Callithrix jacchus: one gene and its partner. The protein of the gene in region 1 purifies or fractionates together with the protein of each later gene. This does not show direct contact. Links are inferred from orthologs where the notes say so. Each region holds a gene or a part of one and is shown on either strand. Other genes may lie near its edges. The genes, in order: PKN3 and ARHGAP26.

What was found.
Region 2: the proteins of PKN3 (region 1) and ARHGAP26 purify together in Homo sapiens (affinity purification with mass spectrometry; 3 studies listed by BioGRID and IntAct, with this or other methods). This does not show direct contact. The link is inferred for Callithrix jacchus from reciprocal best matches to the Homo sapiens genes PKN3 and ARHGAP26.

Annotation. Positions count from the first base shown.
Region 1 is NC_133502.1:177,319,449-177,323,088, forward strand, and holds the end of PKN3 (serine/threonine-protein kinase N3), read left to right. Parts: intron 1-891; coding exon 892-954; intron 955-1,105; coding exon 1,106-1,182; intron 1,183-1,618; coding exon 1,619-1,761; intron 1,762-1,842; coding exon 1,843-1,950; intron 1,951-2,135; coding exon 2,136-2,216; intron 2,217-2,323; coding exon of another isoform or gene 2,324-2,326; coding exon 2,327-2,539; 3' UTR 2,540-2,859; downstream 2,860-3,640. Other genes in the region: palmitoyltransferase ZDHHC12, read right to left, coding at 3,116-3,437, 3,583-3,640.
Region 2 is NC_133503.1:41,210,642-41,215,174, forward strand, and holds the start of ARHGAP26 (rho GTPase-activating protein 26), read left to right. Parts: upstream 1-1,687; 5' UTR 1,688-2,075; coding exon 2,076-2,229; intron 2,230-4,533. UniProt on the Homo sapiens protein: GTPase-activating protein for RHOA and CDC42. Facilitates mitochondrial quality control by promoting Parkin-mediated recruitment of autophagosomes to damaged mitochondria.

The DNA of each region.
Region 1 (3,640 bases):
CATTGCACTCCAGCCTGGGCAACAAGAGTGAAACTGTGTCCCCACCAAAAAAAGAAAAATAGGCATGATTGGCCAGGTACCTGAAATCCCAGCACTTAGGGAGGCTGATGCAGGCAGATCACCTGAGGTCAGGAGTTCATGACCATCCTGGCCAACATGGCGAAACTGTGTCTCTACTAAAAATATAAAAATTATCCAGGCATGGTGGTGCATGCCTGTAGTCCCAGCTACTTGGGAGGCTGAGGCAGGAGAATCGCTTAAACCTAGGAGGCAGAGGTTGCAGTGAGCCAAGATCCTGCCACTGCACAGCCTGGGTGACAGAGTGAGACTCCGTTTCAAAAAAAAAAAAAAAAAAAACAAGGCTGGGTGCGGTGGCTCATGCCTGTAATTCCAGCACTTTGGGAGGCGGAGGTGGACAGAGCATGAAGTCAAGAGATTGAGACCATCCTGGCTAACACGGTGAAACCACATCTCTACTAAAAATACAAAAAAAAAAAAATTAGCTGGGCATGGTGGTGGGCACTTGTATTTCTAGCTACTCGGGAGGCTGAGGCAGGAGAATCGCTTCAACCTGGGAGGCGGAGGTTGCAGTGAGCTGAGATCATACCACTGCCCTCCAGGCTGGTAACAGAACAAAAAAAAAAAAGAAAAGAAAAGTAGGCATGATTATAAAAATCAACTGCAGGGCGCTGTGTGCACACTTGGCCCTCAGCCCAGGAAGGGTGGGGTGGGAGTGCACAGCAACCTTGGGGTGACCTTGGGACTGTTGGAGCACCCCCAACCTGAGCATGATGCTTGTCCCAGTCTCACTCACCTCTGACTCTGGCTGGGACATCCTGGTGCCTCCCTGCCCTGCCTCCGTCCTGAGTTCTTTCATAACCACCCCTGCAGCTTCTACCTGGCTTGTGTTGTCCTGGGGCTGCAGTTCTTACATGAGAAGAAGATCATTTACAGGTGACTTTTGTCCAGGGATGCCTGGGGGTGGCGGTGGGGTGGATGAGAACTAAGATACCACCTCCCTCCTGTCTGGGCTGCTCCAGGAGCAGTTGCTGTTCCCTGGGTCTAAGCCCTGCCCATCCCCTTTGACCTGCACCCTTGCCCTCAGGGATCTGAAGTTGGATAATCTTCTGCTGGATGCTCAGGGATTTCTGAAGATCGCAGACTTTGGACTCTGCAAGGAAGGTGGGGGCCGCCCATTGGGATCCACATCTCCAGTCTCGTCTACCAAGCCTGGCCAACAGGATTATGGGCACATGGCATCTCCCAGGAAATCTCCCCATCCACAGATGCCCTGGTTCCCCCACCCCAGACCTCATTCCATGGGACAGCTGGGCACGCTGTCCCTTTCTTCCCAGCCCTAGAAGTTCGTAGAGATCCCCGGCCTGCCTTTGGCCTGAGGGAAAGCCTGTGGTTAGGGCTGGGAGAGGAGCCTGAGTTCTGCCTCCTGTGACCTTAGCCTGTGAGCCTGCAGTTGAATGGCGGCGTAAACATTCCCACTTCCTTGGGTACAGGGCAGGGCTTGGCATAGGCTCAGCTTCCTGCATCATAAGGCTTGGCCGTTGAGGTTTTTGTGAATAGGCCACAGCAAGCAGCTATTGGTGTGTGTGTTGGTTTGCAGGGATTGGCTTTGGGGACCGGACTAGCACCTTCTGTGGCACCCCGGAGTTTCTGGCTCCCGAGGTCCTGACACAGGAGGCGTATACTCGGGCTGTGGACTGGTGGGGGCTGGGCGTGCTGCTCTACGAGATGCTGGTGGGCGAGGTGAGTGCTGGAGTGTGCTGCCTGGGCCTCTGGGTTGGGGTGGAGGGGCCCCGTGCATCCTGCTGAGCCCCATCTCCACAGTGCCCGTTCCCAGGAGACACTGAGGAGGAGGTGTTTGATTGCATCGTGAACACCGATGCCCCCTACCCCGGCTTTCTGTCAGTGCAAGGGCTTGAGCTCATTCAGAAGGTAAGTACTGCAGGGGCTGGGACTGGGCTGGATGGCCACTCAAGGCCCGTGTGCCCTCTTCCATGGGACAGCAGACCCCCTGACACCCATCCTTGGAGCCCTCTGGGCCAGCGCGCTTGGGGCCTGTGGATGGTGGCGGTGCCTGGGGCTGAATGCCCTAAGTGAGCGCCTATCCTATTGCCCAGCTCCTCCAGAAGTGCCCGGAGAAGCGCCTCGGGGCGGGGGAGCAGGATGCTGAGGAGATCAAGGTCCAGCCATTCTTCAGGGTGAGCGGCTGGGGTGGCAGTGGTCCCCTGTGCCTGGCAGGGTGGGTGGCATGGAGTGACTCCTGGGGTTGACATTCCCGCCATCTCAGGCACCTCTCCTTTTCCTCCAGACCACCAACTGGCAGGCCCTGCTTGCCCGCACCGTCCAGCCCCCTTTTGTGCCCACCCTCTGTGGCCCTGCGGACCTGCGCTACTTTGAGGATGAATTCACAGGGCTGCCGCCTGCCCTGACCCCACCTGCACCCCACAGCCCCCTCACTGCCCGCCAACAGGCTGCCTTCCGGGACTTCGATTTTGTGTCAGAGCAATTCCTGGAGCCCTGAGGGCGTCTCGTGGCACCTCTGCCTCCTACCCCCACAGACTGTTAGAGCCTCTGCTCACCCACCTGTCTGGAGGCCCTGCCTGGAGGCCCAGGACTTGCTTGGCATTTATGAGCCTTGGGACTCAAGGTGGCAGCCATGGGTCTGCTGTCGTGGGCTTTGCTCAGTGTCCCTGGGCAAAGTGTGTTCCCTCCCCCTCCAGCTTGTCCTCCTTTACCTCCCAGTGAGACCTGGCCCAGAAAGGGTACCACAGTGAGGAGTGATACGATTTGTCTTTTTAGGATTTAACTTGCTTTATAGATTATTAAATTCATACATGTACACTGGCGGCAGCCTGGGCTGGGTTGGGCTGGGGTGGAGCCTGAGGTCCGTTTGGGCCTGAGCTGCCCACAGGTCTTCCCCTTCTTCCTTGGAAGGCAGAACCGCCCACTGAGGCAGGGATCTGTCTGTCTTGAAGCTCCATTCTGGGGCCTGAGGAGTGGGCAGGAAGAGGGCCCCAGGCCCTCCGAGGGCTGACACCAGCTGGGAACAGGCCCTGTGGTTTTCAGGCACTAGACGGCAGCCCGGCCTCCAGCGACCCTAAACAGCTGGGCTGCTGCCCTCCTCCTCCTCCTCAGCCCAGAGGGTCTCCCAGGATCCCGAGGGCCATCCGCAGAAGAAGTGGGCCAGGTTGCGGGTCAGGCCCTGGTCGAAGGGGTTGTCGGGGCGCTGGCGGAGATAGGTGATGCGGTGTGAGGACATGAACTCCCAGGTGGTGGTGTTGCTGGCCACCAGGTAGAGGTGCGAGGCAAGGAGCAGGCTGGCCACCAATGAGAAGAGGGACAGCAGCAGGAAGGTGGCAAACAGGAGCCCGCTGGACCGAAGCCACAGCCCCCAGGGCTGGAAGAACCGGAGGCCTGACCTGCGGTGCCGGGAACAGGGGCCTGCTGTTGGGGAGGGCTGGGGAGCTCTTCCCTCCCTGTGCAGGGTCCCTGGGAGCCCTGGCTCTGTCCACCCCTTTGGAAGCATGCATCCCACCCTCTCCCCACACCCCGGGCAGCACCTACCATGCCAGATAGAGGCCCCACAGAAGCACCAGCAGCTGCAGCACCAGGTAGACCACAA
Region 2 (4,533 bases), on another chromosome or scaffold:
AACAGATTTACTTTCATAGGGTTTTCATTCTAGATCTTTCTCATCATTGGCAAGTGAAGAACAATTATTTTTGGGTTGTAATTATCTATCAAATAACTGTCTGGGCCTGCTATCAAGTCTAACTTTGTAGATACAATTATCAAACAGATCACATTAACTCATTTATACATTTACTTATTTATTTTACAATTTTTTGTAGAGACGGGGGTGTCACTATGTTGTCCAAGCTGGTCTTGAACTCCTGACTCCAAGCAATCCTCTCGCCTGACCTCCAAAAGCAATGGATTACAGGTGTGAGCCACCGTGCTCCATTTATGAATTTAATAAATCAGTTACTTTCTTAATATAGATGGGATACCTCTGACCCCTCCTGAGTGAAAAATCCATGTTTCCAAGCATCCAGGCCTTCTATCCTATCACAAGGCATGGTTATTCCTTGTTTGCTTCCATCTCTCCTACTGACCACCAGCAGCTAAATTCATTCTGTTACTCCTCTTTGTGTCCTTACCATTTAGGTTAGTGCCTGCACATATCAGACCTAGTTAAAAAACAAACCAACCCAAACAAATACGAAACCCCCACGTAGCTGAAATGGCTGCTAGTTCCTAGACATAGAAATAATTTATTCAAGGACAGTCGCTATCCTCCAGGAGTTCACAATTTAGCACTAGACACTCTGTGGGACGCAGTCTGACAAGTGCAACGAGTGAGATGCCAGAACTGAGTCCTGCAGTCGAACAGAGGGATTACAGGGCAATGCACTGGGCATGGGAGGTGGAGATGGCTCTGGGGAAGGATCCATTCATTTATTCCACAAACACTTACCAATCACCGTAGCACACATAGCACATAGTAAGCGCTCAATATCTGTTATTAAATGCCAGCCACTGTGCTAGGTGCCGGGATGCAACAGCGGACAAGAAAATTGAAGTGGCACTTGCCCTCGTGGCGCTTACCGTGTAAGCAGTGGACAGAATTATGTAAAATTGTGCTAGATGCAGGGCAGGAAAATAACAGGCGGCTGAAATTCTCGTAAGGATGGCTGTGAGCTCCTTCGGCCGGGTGGGGGGCGGGGGGGCCGTGGGCGGGTTCTGAGCAGGAGTGGCGGTGAGGGGGACGGACCATAGTGGGTGGAAAGACTGCAGGCAAGAAGAGCTGCTAGAGCTGGTAATTTTAAGATGCAAGTAACATTTTTCTGCCTGACTGAAAGAGGAGGGTTTGGTCGCTTGGGATTCTCCCGGGACAGGGGACTGTATTTTGAGGGTAAAATCGGTTGCCCAGCAGTGCAGGGCAGGCGGTGGTGAACTGCAGCCCTAATTCCCAGATTTTTTCATGCTTGGCACATCCAAGCTCCTCGGCCCCCAGGACCAGCAGACTCGCCATCTGCGGCTCGGATTCGGGCCGGAGCAGGCGGGCAAGGTGGGTGGGGGGCGTGCACTGCAGCGCTCACCCTGAGGTTTCAGGGTGTGCAGCGCCCGGAGGGCGAGAGGAGGCGGAGCTTGCGCTGCGGACCTAGGCGTTGGCGAGAGCCACGCCCCCAGCCGCAGACCCTGCCTCCAGGCCCCTTTGATTGGATCAAGCCGCGGAAGGGCCGGGCGTCCTGGGGTGGCCAAGAGGGTCGGGCAAGGGAGGGCGCGCTGATTGGCCCGGCGGGGATTAAGTCATCGCTAGCAGGTTCGAGTGGCCCAGACGCCGGCGGGGCGGCCGAGGCTTCTGTGAGAGGGCGCTCGAGGCTGCCGAGAGGTAGCTAGCGAAGGAGTCGGGGAGGCGGCGTCTGCACTCGCTCGCCCGCTCGCTCGCTCGCTTCCCGGCGCCGCTGCGGGTCCGCGCTGCATTTCCTGCTCGCGAGCCGTTCCATCGCGCGCTCCCGGAGCAGCCGCCCCTCGTCCGGGTCCCGGGTGGGTTCGGGAGTTGTGCTAGCCGGCTACACCGCGTTGGGGGCGAGCCGGCGCCACACCTGTGGAGCCGGCGGCAGTCGGGGGAGCCGGCCGGGGTCCCGCCGCGTGCGTGCTTTGGGCGGCGGGAGGCCGGGACCCCGGAGGAGGCGCGCCCTCCGGCTGGGCGCCGCGGGCACCATGGGGCTCCCAGCGCTGGAGTTCAGCGACTGCTGCCTCGATAGCCCGCACTTCCGAGAGACGCTCAAGTCCCACGAAGCAGAGCTGGACAAGACCAACAAATTCATCAAGGAGCTCATTAAGGACGGGAAGTCACTCATCAGCGCGCTCAAGAGTGAGTGTCCCGAGCCCCGCGGGGACGCGGCCCCGGGGCGGGAGGGACGGGGAGGTGGCGCTTAACCCGGGTCGCTCGAGCGTCCTCAGGGGTTCTGCCCCCGGTACACTGGGGGACGGGTGTCGACGCCTCCGAGGCAGGAAGGATACGGAAAGCAGGCGGACCACCAACCATCAGATGAAGAAAGAGACCCGTCGCTACGCCTTTTGCGTTCGGGGTTGGCCGGGAGGTGACCGAGCACGGGTGGTCGTGGGCGTGTGCGGCACGCAGGTGTCCCAGGAGTGGGGCCAGAGTGCCCAGCGCGCCGCAGCCTGCGGGCAGATCTCATCGCGTCCTCAGCTCCAGCTCCCTTAGGGGCAGAATTGCTCAGCCCTGGGTGCCCAGCCGTGAATACGGAGCGTGCCTGCCGAGGGGGCGCTGCCTCCCCTTGGGAAAAGGCGGGTTGTGACTGCTTCACTCTCTGCACGCAGCTCCAGCCTAGTCCGGCCACCAGGTTCCCTGGGTGGAATGCTTGGTTAGCTTGCGATCCCTGGAGTATTGGCAGCCAGTAATCTCTAAATCTAGAATCAGTACGTGTGCAGGTTCTGATTCTTGTGTTTAGCAGAAGGTGATAGGGGTGGGAGTAGAGAAGCAGAGTGTTCCTTTACTCTAAACTGTGGGCGAGGATTTAAAAATAGAGTGAACATATCCCAACTCTCTCCCTCGCCTGCTCCCAAGCTCTCCTTTTTACCTTTCCCGTTATCCTTGAAAACGTAAAGGTGTGAGAAGGAATGCCCATAGTCCTCAGAAAAAACTTATTTCAAAGATTATTGGACCTTTTGTGAAGCCATTTTTGTGTTTTTCCCTTTTGGTACAAGGGGAGAGATGCAATTTTGCATTCTGCTTCACTTTTGCAGAGCCAGAGAGTTTCTTTTTCTGGCCAAATAAGCGTGCTCTAGGGATGAGTGCTTTGGATTGTGAGAACGTTTTTGGTGCCTTTTCAGTCTCCTCATTTAAAAATAGCTCAGTCCATCTTTTAGTTTTGGGAATTAGGAACCACATGAAGGCAGATAGTGGAATTGTCTCTGACTCTCTTACTTTATCTGTTTCTATGATGGATTTCTTAGTAGGTGATACCTTTCAGCTAAGAAAGGTTGCCTTAGCAGAGTAGAGTCCTAGCTGTGAGAATTGTTCCCAGGCCTTTTTAAAGGGCGTTTACTAAAGTCAGGTGCCTGAAATGTTATTTTGTCAGCTTGTTGCTTATAAAAATGAAGAGAGAGACAATGGAATGCCAGGGCAGCCCAAAGTGCCAATCTTTTGGGATGAAACGAACACAGACTGTGATGTATGAGGCTTCTTAGAGGCAGATTCTCAGGCTGTGCCTTACTTCAAGCATATGAACAGACTCTTCCTTTGTCAATGATCAAGGCCATCCTTGGTTTAGGGGACTTGGGTCCCTGGTTTGGAGTAAGTTAGGGGCTCACTTACAGGTTGGGCCCAGGAATTTTGATTGAATCTCAGGCTGGATTTAGTGGGTTCACTGCTTCACTCAGCAAACGTTTGGTGTGCCTGTGGTGTGCTGGGCACTGCACTGGACACTAAGGATGTAGGAATGAATATTTTGCTGCTCCTATGCTTACGGAGGTGTACTTCATGCCAGGCACTGCTTCACCTATAATTATCTCATGTGCTTATATTCATTTTGCAAATGAGAAAACAGGGGCTGGGGGGAGCACTACCTCTGAGTCACAAAGCTTCAACAGCAGAGCTAGAGCTTTTGAACCCACCTGGTTTGAGCCAGAGATGGAATCCCTGCCAATACAGAGCTTTTACTTCTGCCCCATCTCACTTGCCTAGAATGGAACCTTGTGGGCCAAGTTATAGAATTTGGACTTGTATTTTCTATTTTGGCCTTGAATTTGAGGAGGGTGCATTTGGGTGACTGGCAGCCTATTAGTATTTTGGGGGGGTCAAGAATTCTTTGATAGGAAGAAACATTGCAGCGATAGAGTGAAGGGTTATTTAAGCTGTCTAATGGAATGGATCAGCCTTGTAACCTGGAGAAAAGACTGATGGGGAACTAGGTGTTCTGTTCTCTATATCCAGCTCTACTACTTTATTCTACCACTACTACTTCTTGATCAGGTCACATGACCTCTTAATATAGAGGGTGGAGTCAACCATTGTATCTGCAGATTTCAGGCATTCCGATATCATGAGATGCTTGCTACATTGTATACTATATTAATGTTTGTGTATTATTTTCTTCAGTCATGTTTTTTATGTCTATAAACAGAAGTTTTTTGCCAGTACAACTTAAGCATA